Linked DNA regions of Neurospora crassa OR74A. The protein of the gene in region 1 interacts with the protein of each later gene in a pairwise test. Links are inferred from orthologs where the notes say so. Each region holds a gene or a part of one and is shown in the gene's direction. Other genes may lie near its edges.

Region 1 (6,299 bases):
GTACCCCTTTATCGGTATAGGCACAACAAGAAACAATGAGATGAATGCTCCCAGCAGATGAATAAACCAAACATTAGGCAAGACCAGATTTATATATACTTCTACTCAGCTGTGTGGAAAAAGCTGCAAGATCATCTCATTTCCAAGACCGGGGGTTTGAAACGTAGCGGTGTTCGTAGCGAGGATGAAAACACGAGAATACTACGCTGGCGATTATTAAGGTAAACAGACGAGTGCCACCCACTTAGTAAGTTGCAGGAGAAACGGCGCTTTTGTTTACTATGGATTTACCTGCGTTCGGCATACATTTGACCGAGCGGACAAATTCGAGGACTGGTTATGGATTCAAGTCGTCGTCATCCATGGGCGGTGCCTCCGAGGTGGGAGGGAGTAAAGGAGGAGGAGAATGAAGACAAGGGGTTGTCCTGAGGGAAAACCCGCATGTTGTGCTTGCGGAAAATCGACTGATGTGTTCTTTCCCCTCCTCCTGCAATGTTCTTCCTCCAAATCTTTGCCCTGTGATCTTGTTTGGTCCTGGTGTTGAGTTGTCAATCCCGTCTTGTCGTCGAGCAGCTTGAAGTCAAAAGTGGGGCAGTTGCACGGTGAAACTTCACCTTGGGTTCACCGGACAGTGCCCACCGAATTTTTCTCCTTTAATAACATCAGCACGAATTACCAAGCGCTTTCGCAACAGACTTCAGAGCTTTGAAACAACATCTTGAGCTTGGCCTATTTTAAACGTCCCGACTTTTCGTCCTCTCATTTCTACTTCCACAACCACCAACCAACCAATCATCCTTACAAAGAGATCCTTCAACATGTCTGACAGCAAGCAAATGAGCCAGCAAGAGGTTTCTGCCGAGTTCACTTCCTACTACCTCCAGCGAGCAACCAAGGAGTTTGCCGAAGACCTGGACAAGGTGCGCACGGCTGACGACTTCAAAAACGATGCGATCCACCTGCTCGTGAACGCGCTACAGCAGGGTACTGCGCTTTTCTCTCCCGAAGAGCAGAGGAGGATAGTCGAGTCTGGGGCGGAGAGGAAGTGATGAGGACGAGCGACGCAAGTTTTGAAGGGAAGGGATCACGGAGGTTCAGGGGAGTTGGAGGTTATTTCTTGCGTGATTGCAGGAAGATCCGAAGATGGGAGGTCGTCTCTCGATAGCGGGCATCGAGCCGAGCAGTCCATCGGTTCAAGACGAGAACTGAAGGCTTCGACGGACGTAATCTTTGAGAGGCCACGCGAATCCTTTCCACGTCAACCTGTCTATCGACATGACACGACTGGGGAGAGACTGATTGGTTGAAGCAGGAGCTGTTCACCCACACGATCACCCGCAGTCGGTTCTACGACCATAGTTGGAGAGTAGAGTCAGGCGCAAACCTCAAGGCCGCGGAAGATAGGCATGGAATACCCGTAAAAGCATAGAACATGCGACCAAAGAAGAATGATATGCTGCACAAGATTGATAACCTGATAAATGAAGTCAACCGGTTTTAAATATGGCTGGCTGTTGTACAATTTCTATCCAACAGAGGCCGTTCATACTGAAACGCGCATTCCGATGCCTGGCTGTTTCTAGCGTTATCATTGTAACTGTAAGTAATCATAACCATGACAACATGGCCGAGTGGTTAAGGCGACAGACTTGAATACCGCCTTTATTCAGCTATCTGTTGGGTTCGCCCGCGTAGGTTCGAACCCTACTGTTGTCGAATTTTTTCGCCTTTTGAACCATTTTTTTCCTCCTTCTGTTGGCTTCAACATGTAATTTCACTGATGTATGTGAGATAGATCTCGTTTTCAATTTATTTTTTGGGCTTTGATTGCTAGCTAGACCCTGGACATACAAAAAAATGCCCCTTGGTTTTCCAAAGATAAAGACCCAAAAAGTCTATCGATGGGAACACCTTCCACACGTAGACACCAACCTGCCAAAAGAGACACTGCAGTTTACGCGGTGATAATGTACTTCAAAACCAGAAGGCACGGCGGAACTGAGAGTGGAATACTGAATGGTAACTGACACTCCCGCCTCGACTCTCTACATTGCTCAATGTATAGATATGTACCTATGTACTTTATAATAGTATGTTTACCCTATCCATGTCCCTCCCGTACGGGTGGTTCGGGTTGAAGCTCTGCCGAAGTACGGTGCTTCAGATACACCCAGTATTACTTCCAGTCTGTGTACAAATCAACACTGCTAGCTGGGCAGGTCATTTGATGTCTCAAGTTCAATACCTTTGAAAGGAAGAATAATTTGGACTGGATCACTGCATAAGATTATGGACGGTGAAGAACTGCCGGTTATGGTAGACCCCTCCACTCCACTTCCGACCAGCGACTTATCCAACACGGACGGGGCCAGGGCTGACCAACGCTCCCCACGGCCGCGACGGAACCCCGAGAGCCCGCCTGTCAGCTTTAGTCAACGCGACTACACAAGCTTGGGGTCGGACCTTACTCCTGACCGACATTCGACGAGGGGCCGATTTTTTTTTTTGATTTTTTTTTTTTTTCTCTGAAAACGTTGGATCATCATCTACCCAGGTTACGTACCTTGCAGCCATAAGACCGATCAGGAAGCACTAAACGTCGGTGCTTGCGACAAGGCGGTCATACATACCTGCTACGCCCACGACCCCCCCTCCGCCTTCCTCGTTCGACAGGACAACAACGCCAATTGTCCATTATCCATCAACGGCCCGAGTCCTCGAGACGCTGTATGACATTCAGAGACGATCGGGTTCGCATACAACGGGCGCTCGCAAGTTTAACATTGGACGTGGAGACACCCTCTCCTCCATCGACGGCGCATCTTATCTGGGTTCTTCCTGAACGCAGACCGACCGCGGACCAATCTACCACCCGGATCACGACCTCACACACACACACGAATTCGCATAATGGCAGCCCAGACACTGCCCGCCTCCGGGGCTGCCGTGACGTTCAATACCCAGCGCACGCGTGCATATCTCCTTAAGCTGCCACTTTTCACAAGAGCCACGGTGCTAATCATTGTCCTGACATGGGTTCTGACGTTGGTCGGCAAGTCATGGAACTGGGACGTCAAGACGTGGGGCGCGTTGATACCGGACGAGATTGGTATTGCGACATGTAGGTTCTATTCGGTTTTTGTTCTTCGGTATGGTCATGCCAGGGAGTGGCCAAAGTGGAGGACCTCGCTGAAGGGAATGGGATGGGAGGGAATCCTCAATTGGACGCAGAGCACGCGCTGGTAGCGGACACCGCAGATACCAGACAGCAGTCCTGCGGGATGGCAGGAGGCTTCACATTCTGAAATGGGTCATGCCTCAACGCTGGCCTGTGACATGAGACCTGCCCGAGCACACCTGCTAACACTCTTGGCAACAGTATATCGCATCAACACATTCCCCTTCATCCACCTAAACATCTTCCACACAATACTCAACATTGTCGCCTTTACACCTCTTCTCGAGCGGTTCGAGCATGAACATGGTACTTTAACCTCTGTGGCGCTCTTCTTTGGCCGTAAGACACCCCCCTCTCATCTCCTTGATATTACCCGGGGCCACAACTCACACGTTTGTTCTCCTCTAGCATTCGCAACGATACCGGGCCTCATCTACGTCTTCGTTGAAAGGTTCATCCTTCACGCCAACACGCCAGTCATGGGAGCCAGCATGTGGGTGTTCCTGCTGCTGGGCATGGAAGCTATTCGCACCTACAAGACCAACCCCTACTTCACCATCAGCACCTACAACATTCCTACGTGGATCACTCCTTTGTTGTTGGTGGTGGTTACTGCTGCGTTGCTGCCGAGTTCGAGCTTCCTCGGGCACTTGGCCGGTCTGCTTGTCGGTTATGGGTGTACGTGTTTCAATCCCAACTGCTCCCCTACCTACGTTCATGTTGAGGGGGGGGAAAGCTATATTTGCTAACATGGATGATAAACAGTCGGCCTAGGATACCTCAAGTTCCTCGCCCCTCCTGAGTGGGCGTTGCGGTTCATCGAAGGAAAGCTCAACCTCTTGGGTAGACTGCCTCACTACGTCAGCGTGGATCAAAAGACTTTTGGCAGATTCGGTGTCCTCCCTTCCTCTGCCTCATCAGCCGAGGCTGGCATTCCGTTTTCCGGGGTCTCTGGTGGCCAGCGATTGGGACCTTGAAAGAAATACGGGTTCCCGAAATATGGCGTACATTACGTGCATGAGTAGAAGAGCATGGAAGTTTGAATTGGTGCATACGAGGCATGCGTGTCATGAATAATGGATATAGAAAGGAATTTTACTGTTAATGTATGATGCTGTACGACTAAATACAGGGCCGGGGGAAAATGGAGATGGTAGTTGCATGGCGTTCTCTGGATATGAATCGAATTTCCTCTTGGGATTTGAAGCCTGCAAGTCGAGTCTTATTAGATTTGATGAGTGCCAATCATTCAGCTTGAACACGTCCATGGATGATGAGTACGGGGTCTCAATGGTCTTCAAAGTTTCGTAGCGTCATAAAGAAGCTCGAGTCATTATGGCAAAGGTCGCGAGTTATCCAGATGTAAGAAATAATATGTTATCACTTTGCTTTTCCAACCCTTTTCACGCTTACAACAAAGAAATTTCTATTCATCAGTATACTTATTCCCCTGTACGGTAGTAGCGCCGTCCCAAATAATGGCCCAAAAATTCCCTTCCTATCCCCAATTTCAACCTCCTTCCCCCCCCAATGATCAGCCTAGCCTAGCCCACAGCCTCAATCAAGCAGCAGCAGCAGTAGCAGCACCCTCCTTTTCCTTCCACCCCAACTCCCTCAACGTCCAACCCTTCCCCTCTGGCGTCTCAGCCCCCGCCCCCTCCTCCGGCTTCACCTCAAAATTAGCATAGCAATAAAACTCATTGCTCAACCCCCTCGCGTGCTTAGGCTCAAACGTAGTAGTCCTCAGGCCGTAGCTCTTATACAGCTTCTCCGTGACCAGCGTCTCCATGCGCTCGCCCGTGCAAGCAATGATTCTGGGCTTTTCGCCCTTCTCCTCCGATTTGAGCATCCACCTTACCGTCAACGCAGCCTTGGTCTGGCAATCCTCGCTCAAAAAGGGAGGATCCACAATGACGCGGTCAAAGGCGCCCTTGAGGTGGCTTGGAAGCTTGAGCGGCTGGGCGAAATCGTAAAAGACGAATTCGTCAGCAAAGACGGCGAAGCGGTTGTCGTGCTCGAGTAAGGTGAGTTTGGGCTTGGGCTTGTCTTTGTAGGCGTCGCTGTTCAAAAGGTTCTTGAGCTGAACGAAGACGGAGGGGGCGGAGACGACGGCGATGGAGGTGGTTGGAGTGGCGCCGGCGAGGAGTTGTTTGGCGAGAAAGGTAGCTGTTTCATCGGAGTACTGTTGAGTGATTCTCATGTCAGTTGGTTCGTCTTCGTCGGTTGAACGTCTCTTTATAAGCCATGTGTGAAAAAAAATTAAATGAAAATGGTATCACTCACCCAGAACTGGCTTTCATTCCAATCCTCGGTGAAAGCATCCATAGACAGCTTGACGTTCAAAGCATGCCTCTCCTCAGCCTCGGCCTGGAGCTTAGCAAACTGCTCAGCACGGGCATCGCGCTCGGCGTAGAAAGATTTGAGGGCATCGAGGGTTGAGGTAGAGAGTTCGCTTCAGATAGTCAGTATACTGTGGATTACGATTATTAAAATAAGTTTCTGGTAGTGAGGCATTACTCACAGGTCACTCTCATCATCAGAGAATTTGTCGATGATGCACGCCATTTTGGACCCCAAGTCTAATCACAGTATGGCTCGATTCGATATGGTTCGGGTACAAGTAGGAGCGAATCGATTATAATCGGTTGTCTAAGTGGGCAGCGAGTGACTGTAAGGTTGTGAGTGTTGGGGAATGGTGTGCTCTTGGCACTAACAGTCAAAGTTTAACGGGAGTGTGCAGCATCGTTCGGAAAAAATTTGTGGATGCATTGATGCCATTTCCCTTATCCGTTCCCCTTTTTGGTCGCATCATACCAGTAAACACAACCCCGTCGAGTTGAAGGCTTCAATTTCACCCCAGATCGTTCAAACGCTTGCGCAAATCTCTTGATTGCTCTAATTCTCACCACAGCATCCAGTCTGGACGTTCTGTGTTCCGTCGACTCACCAAATGCTCTACGGTGGATTTCTACAATCTACATGCATCCCTGTGCAACCCCAAAGATACTCACAGCATGTGAATGTACTCCCTGTCCTCCCTCCTCTCCTTTTCGGTCGCTGGCGGAAGGTCGTAGTAGGCATTGCTGCGATAACTTTGCTGCATGGGAATCAGTCATCATAC
Region 2 (4,579 bases), on another chromosome or scaffold:
GCACGTTCGGATCCTGGATCGATCCAGGCTTGGGGCTCCAATCTGCCAGCACACCACACTTCTTACAAGTCCTCAGCTGCTCATTACCCTTAAAGGCTTCCACGGCCGCCTTGATCTGCGTTCCCAAATCGGTGCAGTGGAAGCTCGCCTCGTGCACAATCTCCTTGCAGTTCTGGCAGTACCACCTCATGCGGTCGATGGTGTCGGCGGGACGCTTCTGTTCCAGCACGATACCGACCGTGTCGGCGAACCGCACCGGGTTGTGCGGGGTGTTGCCTGGCAGGAGGAACATCTCGCCCTCGCGGATGATTATATCTCTGAAGTTTCCGTCGTCGACCACCTTGAGCATCATGGCGCCCTTGTACTGGTAGAACCACTCGGGGGTTTGGTTGATGTGGTAATCCGTGCGGGCGTTGGGGCCACCAACGATCTGTGGGGGGGTTTTAGTCACGACTGGAATCCGCATTACCTGCAGTCGAGTTGCTACTTACCATGACGGTGAAATCATCATTGTAAACGCAGTAGTTGTTGATGGGCGGCTTCAGAAGGTGAGAGTTTTCTTCGAGCCTGTGTAAGCTGTGAGCGCAAGCTGATACGCTGAGGGGTTACATGTGGCTGATGGTGATGCATACCATTTCGGCAGGTTTACTGGTGAGGAAAGCATTGTTTAAGACCTGATTTGTGTTTGTGGGAACTATGACTCGGTCTTCTTCTTTCTTTTACCGTTCTTTGCTCCCAAAATCAACCTCCAAGATCCTCAAGTTATGACGCTGACGATGGGATGATTCAAACTGCGAACAGCTGATTGCTTTGTCAGCTCATCCCGGCACTCTAACGATATAGGCAGGGGCCGGGAAAAACGCATACCCACTGCAGTTAACTGTACTCGAACTTTCAGTGTTGACTGTAAAATGGGCTTGTACAAGACCATACATAGAAGTACAAATCCAGAAATGTCTACTACGCACTAGGTAATGGAAGTTTCGAACAACATGGAGCGCTGGAAACCACGAACTAAATTCCGGCAGGTACAGTATCCCAACAGTAGTAGTACTACCCCACTTGTCTGTTTGATGCCCCGCCAGATGATGCCTGCTGTCAGACGGAGGGGATACCACGGCCTGCCAAACGAACCCTAGACAAGTCTGTTTCCCCCTCAGGGAGTGTTGTTGTTCGGATGCCAGACCCCTGTTTATCTTGCTCAAACTAGCTTGATAGCGATCTCGCGAGATTCGTACCAGCTGCAGGGCGTTGTAGGCGTATTCTCAGGTGCTTCATGTCTTCTCTGGCCGTGAATTGAACACAACGTGCGAAACTCCAGCTCCGACCTCGAGGTTCCACCAACGGGACACTTCAGTTCCTCTTTCATCTGATGGGACACGAGGCGCTCACTCACAGCCACCTCTACCTTATAAGTCGAGATCCCCGATCAACAACTCCGCCATCTCACTCAACTCCCTTCTTTTCTCTCCTATAGTCGAAGCAACAAACATCCTTAAGGAGCAGCAAAACGAACCATGGATCACTCCGGCCACGACCACAGCACCCACATGGACCACTCCGGCCACGGCGACATGCACTCGGGTCATCCTGGGATGGGCGAAGGAGCGCCGAGGTGTAGCATGAACATGCTCTTCACCTGGAATACGGAGAACCTCTGCATCGTCTTCCGCCAATGGCACATCCACTCGACCTTCAGTCTCGTAGTCTCCCTTCTCGCCATCGTCGCGTTGGCGGCCGGATACGAGGCACTTCGCGAGGGCATTAGACAGTATGAGGCATGGACTAATAAGAGGGTGGAGACTACGCCTCGTAAGTTGTTCATCCTCACTTCCCCTTTTTGTGTCTCGGGCCCTTTGAAAACCATTTTGCTTCTCTTTAATCCGATATTGCTATTTTTGCCTTGGCTTGCCATATCATCTCATTGCATCTCAAAATGTCACAACGTTACGTGGCATTAGACACACAAACACCGAATGCCTACTACATCTACCATGCGTTTGGTGTCGTATCGTTTTGCTAAGATGACCACTTATCTGTCTTGGAGACCCTCGAGAACAGTATCGCGATGATGATGATGATGATGACGTTGAACAACAACTTGAAGATGAAGAACGTCTTGCTGAGACTACCATGCCGTGGTTACTAGGGCAAAATGTGGCTGCAGTCACCAAGCGGGCCCACGCCATCAAGTCGGTCTTGTATGGGATCCAGAACTTTTATGCGTTCATGATCATGTAAGAGATTTCCCCCCCTTCCACCGTTTGCTTTCCAATTCTGTTTCCAAGCTTGAATGTTTTCTATTTCTGACCATACACACACACACACACAAAAGGCTCATCTTCATGACGTACAATGGCTGGGTCATGCTGGCTTGCTCTTTGGGAGCTGCGTTGGGATACTTCGTTTTTGGGTCCCGTACTACTGCTACCAAGGAAACTGCTTGCCATTAGGTGTCATTGACGTGCTCATGAGTGCGCAATTCTCAAACGTCAGGAGGAAAGCATATAGCTTGAGGGCGAGGTGTTATGGCCACTTTGCATAACGGCTGGTGAGAAGAGCGGCCAGAAGGGTCCGAAAAGTGCCATCAGAGTGTTTCGACATGTAATCGGCGGTTGATACGATGGGACGTATGGGGTATGTATGTATATCCCCATAAAATAGGGTCTAGTTGACAGTTTTCTTTACCGTATTATATATTATAATAACTGACGAATGGATGTGCATGGCTTTACACCGATGAAGGGGGAAAAAAAGGAGAAGAAAAAAAAAACCAAAAAAATAAGGGTTGCGCCAGCCGCGAATCGAACGCGGGGCCCATCGATGGCAACGATGGATTTTACCACTAAACCACTGGCGCTTTGTGGTGTTGATATTAAATTTTATGCATAACTTGTGCCTATAGATCAACAACAAGACCTCCAACACCCTGTTCACCCACATTGAACTACATTACCTCCAGGTCCTCCTCTATCTACATCTTTGACGCCTCGCTAGCCTTCTTCGCCGCCTCACTCGCCTTCTTTAGATCCTCCTGCGTAAACACACTCTCCTTCTTCGTCTTCTCCCCCAACATGCCCAACTTATCCAACCCCATGATCATCCTCTCGTCTCCAAAATGGCTGTTATGCTCGAACTCGGGCTCCTCCCCATATGCCACCGTCGCCGCGTCCACCAATATCCTTGCCGTCATCCCCCAAACCTTGTATCGCTCGCTTTCCTCCTCGTCCCCACGGGCGAGCGCTGCTGTCGGTGGCGGCAAGTCCTCGTCGTCTTCCGGGTTGATGATTGCGCTTTGGTTTGACGACTTTTCTTCGGCGGCCTTTAGCTGCTTCCGTGACCCCGGCTTGGCTACCTGCTGGTTGTTGACGGGCACGTAGAAGAAGTGCAACCGCCACCGCTCCTCGTGCCAGTTCGTCCAGCTGCCCTCGTACCACTTGCCTGGCGGCGGCTTTTCTTGCGAGCCGTCCTCGTCGCTTTTCGGAACTTCATCATGGGCTCGCAAAAAGTTGTGGAAGGGCGCGGAGAAGACGGCGGCGACTTCCTTGGCATTGAGGCGCGGAATCAGGGATTCGTCTGCCGCTGGCGCGACCTTGTCATCGGCGTGCAAAAAGGCAACACAGGGACGGACGACTAGCTCGGTGCGCGCGAGGTTCATGGGCAGATAGCAGAGGTGTTCGATGCGGAAGGGCGAGGGGAGCTTGCTGTCGTCCATGGGAAGACCGATTTCTTCCCAGGCTTCGCGGCGGGCGATTTGATCTGTATGAAACAGTCCAAAATTAGTGGTCTTTCCGTGGTCTCGTTACTGGTAGTTTATGTGAACGTGATAGCGGGACTTCATACATGGTGTTTCCTCTACACTATCTGCCTTCCCGCCGGGTAGCGCGGCATGCCCAGAGAAGCTGCGCATGCTCGCGGCGCGCATGGTGATGACGACACGGAGATCACCGCGCTTGTCTGCGAAAAGGAGCAACAACACCGCGGCGCGGCGACTGATTGGTAGGCGGTCCCATAGCGGAAAGGGAGGGGGCTTGAAGGCTCTTAATCGGGCAATGGCAGCCTGCAAGGTAGAATTGTGATAAGTGACTTGAACGTTTTCATAGAAAATGATGATCTATTTAAACTCGGAAGTCATGCAAAGGGCTAACCCAATTTCGACATCAGGGCACCACGCAAGCCCGGGCCGGAGCCGGAGTGCGAAACCGGACACACGGCGCCGGAGCCAAGCGGTCTTCCACGGGAGCAAGCAACCGGCACGGAGTCAAGAAAAGTGAGGTATAAGTACTAACCGCCGAGGCTGGACTAAGCGGTTTCATGGTCGAAGCATCCCAATAATGGGACGCCTCGCTGTCGATAGCCTTCTCTTCCTCCTGATCCTTTGCGCTTTCCCCGTCTTCTTTATTACTCTCCTCCCGTCCCTCCGTTGGCAGTTCACCCGTTCTTGTTGACGTCGGAAATACGATCTCGGGATCCTGTACACCCTGAATACTCTGAGCAATGGTCTGGAACTCTTCGCGGTCTTGAGGGAAGTCGCCGGTGGTGTGTGCGCCCACTTCGTTCGAAGCGCTCATGGTATCAA
Region 3 (4,336 bases), on another chromosome or scaffold:
CTCTTTAATGCGTATTGTTCTACTTTGCGAGAATCTGGCCTCTTGAGATGGGTAATTCATTTGAGCAACATTTCTTGCGAAGGGTTTGATGGTCTTGTGAGGCGAGACTTGTGAACAGTGTTTCTTTGGAGGTGTTCAGTGATTAAGAGCATTATTGAAGTAGACTTGGCGAAAACAAGGTACCAAAATAGACGGTTATTCAGGCCGTGGGGCTTCTGGTGGAATGTGAGATGGTATCAGGACTGTGTTGGGATCTCTTCGGGCCCAATGGGAGACGGCACGGGCTTTGGCTTCGGTTGATGGTCGGGGAGAAGAAAGTGAGAGGGCCGAGGATCCGGGGATATCAATCGGATACAGTCGAGTCTAGTGATGCTGAGTTCTCGGGCTTTGAAGACTGGATAGCTTCATGTAGACTCCGAGCAGCTGGCGATAAAATCACCCTGAGTATGACCAGCATTGATATCTCCTTGAATCATGACTAGGATACCTAGTCAATAGCCGGTAACTACCGAGATCCCGAGGTTTGCTCATGTTTGCAGTTTGGTCGACTATTTACCTGGACCCTGAACTACTGGTCAAGCAACATGATGCGCAGTGTTTACCGAGCCGATGACTGTGGGTTCTTGTCAGCTTATCTGTACCTATTTTGTGTCTTGTTCCTCTTTTTTCTTCTTCTGTTCTCCTTCTTCCTTTTCTAACCTTTTCTCTCTGTTGCTTTAACACTTTGCTCATTTCTCTCACATCTCGCCAAGACAACCTCTTCTGTTTCCTTCATCGCAAACATGTGTTGGCTGCGATGGGTGCAACACCGACCAGTGTCTCTGGACAATCCATTGATCAATCATCATCCTTCACGCCACCAATTTTATTCCCCCAGATTCGCTGCGACATGTGCATCTGAGTCTCATTAAGTCTCGGCCCCCAAAATCTCAAGTTTCGACTCATTAGTGCTCACTCCATCTGCGAGTCAGACCGAGCTGCCTACCATTTGGAAGCAGTCAGAAGTGCTCAATTGGGACATGTCATTCTCCAGTGGTGGTGTTGATTGGCGGCGATGAAGCCGAGGTTCCTGGCGATCGGATCGCAATCCCAGTCGCTGGAACCAGATCCGGTAATACGCCCGTCTGCCCAGCCTTCCGCTTTTAGCGGGTGCTAGCGGGTTGGTGATGGTGTAGGTATCCCAGCACAACGTCATCAGGACCATTTTTTTTTTCTTTTCTTCTTTCCGATGCTGGTCGGGTGTAATGCCAATCATCTGATGTGCGATGTGATGCGATGGACAGTCAAAAGTCTCCGGCAGTTGATACTTAACATCAATCCCTCCCTCAATCACTTCCAAGGATCATACTTGTGTGTTTGCTGACGGGACAAGACGGACAAAATGGCGACCACCACAGATCACCCCAAGATAACGCTCTACTGGTATGGATGCCTATAGTACTAGGTTCCCGCAGCGAGGTGTGCGATAATACATCACTAACAATTTTCACTACACAGGCTCAATGAGTCCCGCGCACAGCGCATGGTCTGGCTCCTCGAGGAGCTCGGCGTCCCGTACGACGTCAAGATCTTCCATCGCGGCAAGGACATGCTCGCGCCCGCCGAGCTGGAAAAGGTCCATCCGCTAGGCAAATCGCCCGTTGTCACGGTCCAGCCTACTGAGCCCGGCGCCAAGGAGATAGTCCTGGCCGAGAGTCCCTTCATTGCCCAGTACTTGTGCGAACACTTTGGCAAGGACACCACTCTGGTTCCCAACAAGTACAAGGATGGACAAGAAGGAAAGCTGGGCGGCGAGACGGAGGAGTGGATGAGATGGCAGCATTTGCTGTATTATTCCGAGGGCAGCTTGATGCCGCCTTTGCTTGTGGCCCTGATTCTTTCCCGTGAGTTTTCCGTCTTTGTCTCTGTGTATGTACTCTTTCAGGACACCACCGGGATTCTAACAAACATCGGTTGCTTGCAGTCATGTCCGGCCCCAAAGTCCCCTTCTTCATCCGCCCCATCACCGCCACCGTCGCCGGCAGGGTGAACAACTTCTTCGTCGTTCCCAACATTGAGAAGCACTGCGCCTTTATCCAGCAGCTACTGGAGACATCGCCCAACGGCGGCAAGTACGTCTGCGGCGACAAGTTGACGGCGGCGGATATCCTGATTAGCTTTCCGCTGTTGATGGTGCCGAGGGCGGAGGTTCTCGCAGGGGAGGCTGCAAAGGGGAAATTGAAGGAAAAGTTTCCCAAGGTGTTTGACTATGTGGCAAGGTTGAAGGAGGAGGAAGGGTATAAGAGGGCGGAGAAGAAGATTGCGGACTTGGAGGCCGAGGCGAAGCAGTGAGTGGACCAGATTCCGGAGCATGGCCGGTAATAAGTGGATCTCGGGGGCATTTGATCCAATGTGGGGCCGCTCCGGATGCTTGTCCGGATCATCGATCGGAGGTGGAGTTCGCGGCACCGCTCGCTCATATGAGGATCATTGATTATATTCTCGACGGTTTATATTTAATCCTGGTCACGAGCAATGCGACCGGTGGTGGCTCTGGCGTGTGTGGCCGGGTCTCCGCAACGGGTCCGGGGCAATGCGCAGCATGCGGCCTTTCTGTGACCTTTTCGCACAGCATTCAAGGTTTATCGAATATTCTTTTCTTTCCTCAGTTGTGAAGCAGCCTCGCCCAATGTTACTCCTAACTCTATATGCTTGGCTCAATGTTGTGAATGGCAAAAAGAATGATGAGTGGTTGCGCTGTGTTGAACCCTAACCCGCTGTGCAAACCCTACCATACGATTTGCCGATCTCGCGCTCTTGACGAGGGTCGTTCCTTCTCCCAAACAACATCAATGAATGCAGCGGTAATAATCAGCTCACGACGACAACGGAATCGCTCTTTCCTTTCCACGAACAAAAGACAGAATCGAGAGGGCGTGAATTCTCCCTGAGAAAGCCCATTTCCCAGTGTCGAATTTTCGATGCCCTGACCATTCTTTTATTTGTGCAAAGTTCAGTTCCTTGCCAATTCTGCGACCCAACGAACTGCGCCCTCGCAAAGCTCACCACACTTCACTCTTTGGCTTTACGATGCACAGCCGGCCTTTTTTTTTCACTTTGATCTAAGATGCCTGGGAAATTTGCTTTTTGACAATCATTTTACGAGGCTATCAATTCCACAGCCAGACTCGTCAAGGGACGAATGACTGTCCGACATGGTACGAAACCCTCCCGCGGAATACTTCCAGCATCCCACGGTAACAATATTGACCACCAAGAGCCGTCCAACAGTCACCAAATCACAGCCGCCAACCGCATTTGTCGTGATGCTCCTGCATCTCGATTACGGCAATGGTCTGTTTCTTCTAAATAAGGCCGTCCAGAGTGGCCTCTCGAGGCCGGCGGCCGGCGTGCAAGTCCCGACGCAATGGTCGGGTCGCCATAACGGGCCTGCGGCGCAGCGCAGCATGCTACCAATTTCCTCCACTAATCAACGTCCATGATTCGCAAGGCTGCCTTCCCAACTCGACGGATAATCAAGAGAAGCTTCTCCTAGTTTGCCTCATTCATTTCACTAATTGTGCTTCAGGCCCGAATGATCGTCGCGTCCCGTGTCCCTCACCGACCCCCCGGTCCTCGGTGTTACTGTTAGCCTGAGGTGCCTCGCTCTAGGGCTCCGACCTTCGGCCTCCGACCACCGTACAACGACCTATCGTCAAACAGCACTAAATACCTACTGATACCAAAACACCTTACGAAATAGTCTTGAGGTTTTACGATGCCGACCTGCAGTTAGTGTTTACATGTCCACGGCTCAGCGGTCCGAATCGCTACTCTGTTACAAGTCCTTCGAGGCACAGCAGCCGTCCAACGCCGCAGTCATCAGGCGATACCCGCATGCCAAACATGGGCACAGATACCGGCCTCAAGCGCCCGAGACAATGGTCAAACGCTCGTTGGCCACCGCTTTTCGTGATACTTTGGAGGGAGATGGGGAAGGTTCACGGCATCCGGTAGGGCAGATAAGTGTATCTGAAACACTCTTGGTGGGTTGCCTGGTACGTATCACCTTGGTGGACGAGCTTGCATGTATCATGATATGGGCGTCCTATTGGGGGCAGGTCACTCATTGAGAGAAGGTGTGTGATGGGCTCCCAAGGCGACTACAATATGGAGCTAGTATCACAAAAAGTGCCAACACCCGTCTGTCACTACCCATACCTTGTTTATGTGAGGCTTCATCAAGTGATACAGGGAGTCCTTTCTGCGCACTAACGGAAAAGTGCTGGAGATTATGCAACAAAAGTTTGACAAGACCTTGCTGCAGAAAAGGCAGTTCTTTCGGTTACTCGTAACC

The links. The genes of interacting proteins can lie anywhere in the genome.
Region 2: the proteins of NCU02371 (region 1) and tcu-2 interact in a protein complementation assay, tested with the Saccharomyces cerevisiae proteins (2 studies listed by BioGRID). The link is inferred for Neurospora crassa OR74A from reciprocal best matches to the Saccharomyces cerevisiae genes RBD2 and CTR2.
Region 3: the proteins of NCU02371 (region 1) and NCU05706 interact in a protein complementation assay, tested with the Saccharomyces cerevisiae proteins (2 studies listed by BioGRID). The link is inferred for Neurospora crassa OR74A from reciprocal best matches to the Saccharomyces cerevisiae genes RBD2 and GTT1.

Annotation. Positions count from the first base shown.
Region 1 is NC_026507.1:2,720,153-2,726,451, reverse strand, and holds NCU02371 (rhomboid protein 2), read left to right. Parts: upstream 1-2,367; 5' UTR 2,368-2,910; coding exon 2,911-3,121; intron 3,122-3,379; coding exon 3,380-3,517; intron 3,518-3,586; coding exon 3,587-3,856; intron 3,857-3,943; coding exon 3,944-4,155; 3' UTR 4,156-4,566; downstream 4,567-6,299. Other genes in the region: NCU02370 (hypothetical protein), read left to right, coding at 819-1,049; NCU02372 (N(6)-adenine-specific DNA methyltransferase 2), read right to left, coding at 4,740-5,360, 5,462-5,630, 5,700-5,743; nuo40 (NADH-ubiquinone oxidoreductase 40 kDa subunit), read right to left, coding at 6,186-6,275. UniProt on the Saccharomyces cerevisiae protein: Probable rhomboid-type serine protease that catalyzes intramembrane proteolysis.
Region 2 is NC_026501.1:5,167,528-5,172,106, reverse strand, and holds tcu-2 (TCU-2), read left to right. Parts: upstream 1-1,155; 5' UTR 1,156-1,517; coding exon 1,518-1,812; intron 1,813-2,047; coding exon 2,048-2,237; intron 2,238-2,335; coding exon 2,336-2,453; 3' UTR 2,454-2,924; downstream 2,925-4,579. Other genes in the region: NCU03282 (3-hydroxyanthranilate 3,4-dioxygenase), read right to left, coding at 1-430, 492-567, 633-664; NCU03280 (NUDIX domain-containing protein), read right to left, coding at 2,975-3,759, 3,844-4,060, 4,290-4,571. UniProt on the Saccharomyces cerevisiae protein: Provides bioavailable copper via mobilization of vacuolar copper stores and export to the cytoplasm.
Region 3 is NC_026503.1:579,816-584,151, reverse strand, and holds NCU05706 (glutathione S-transferase), read left to right. Parts: upstream 1-1,237; 5' UTR 1,238-1,381; coding exon 1,382-1,422; intron 1,423-1,497; coding exon 1,498-1,883; intron 1,884-1,963; coding exon 1,964-2,331; 3' UTR 2,332-2,681; downstream 2,682-4,336.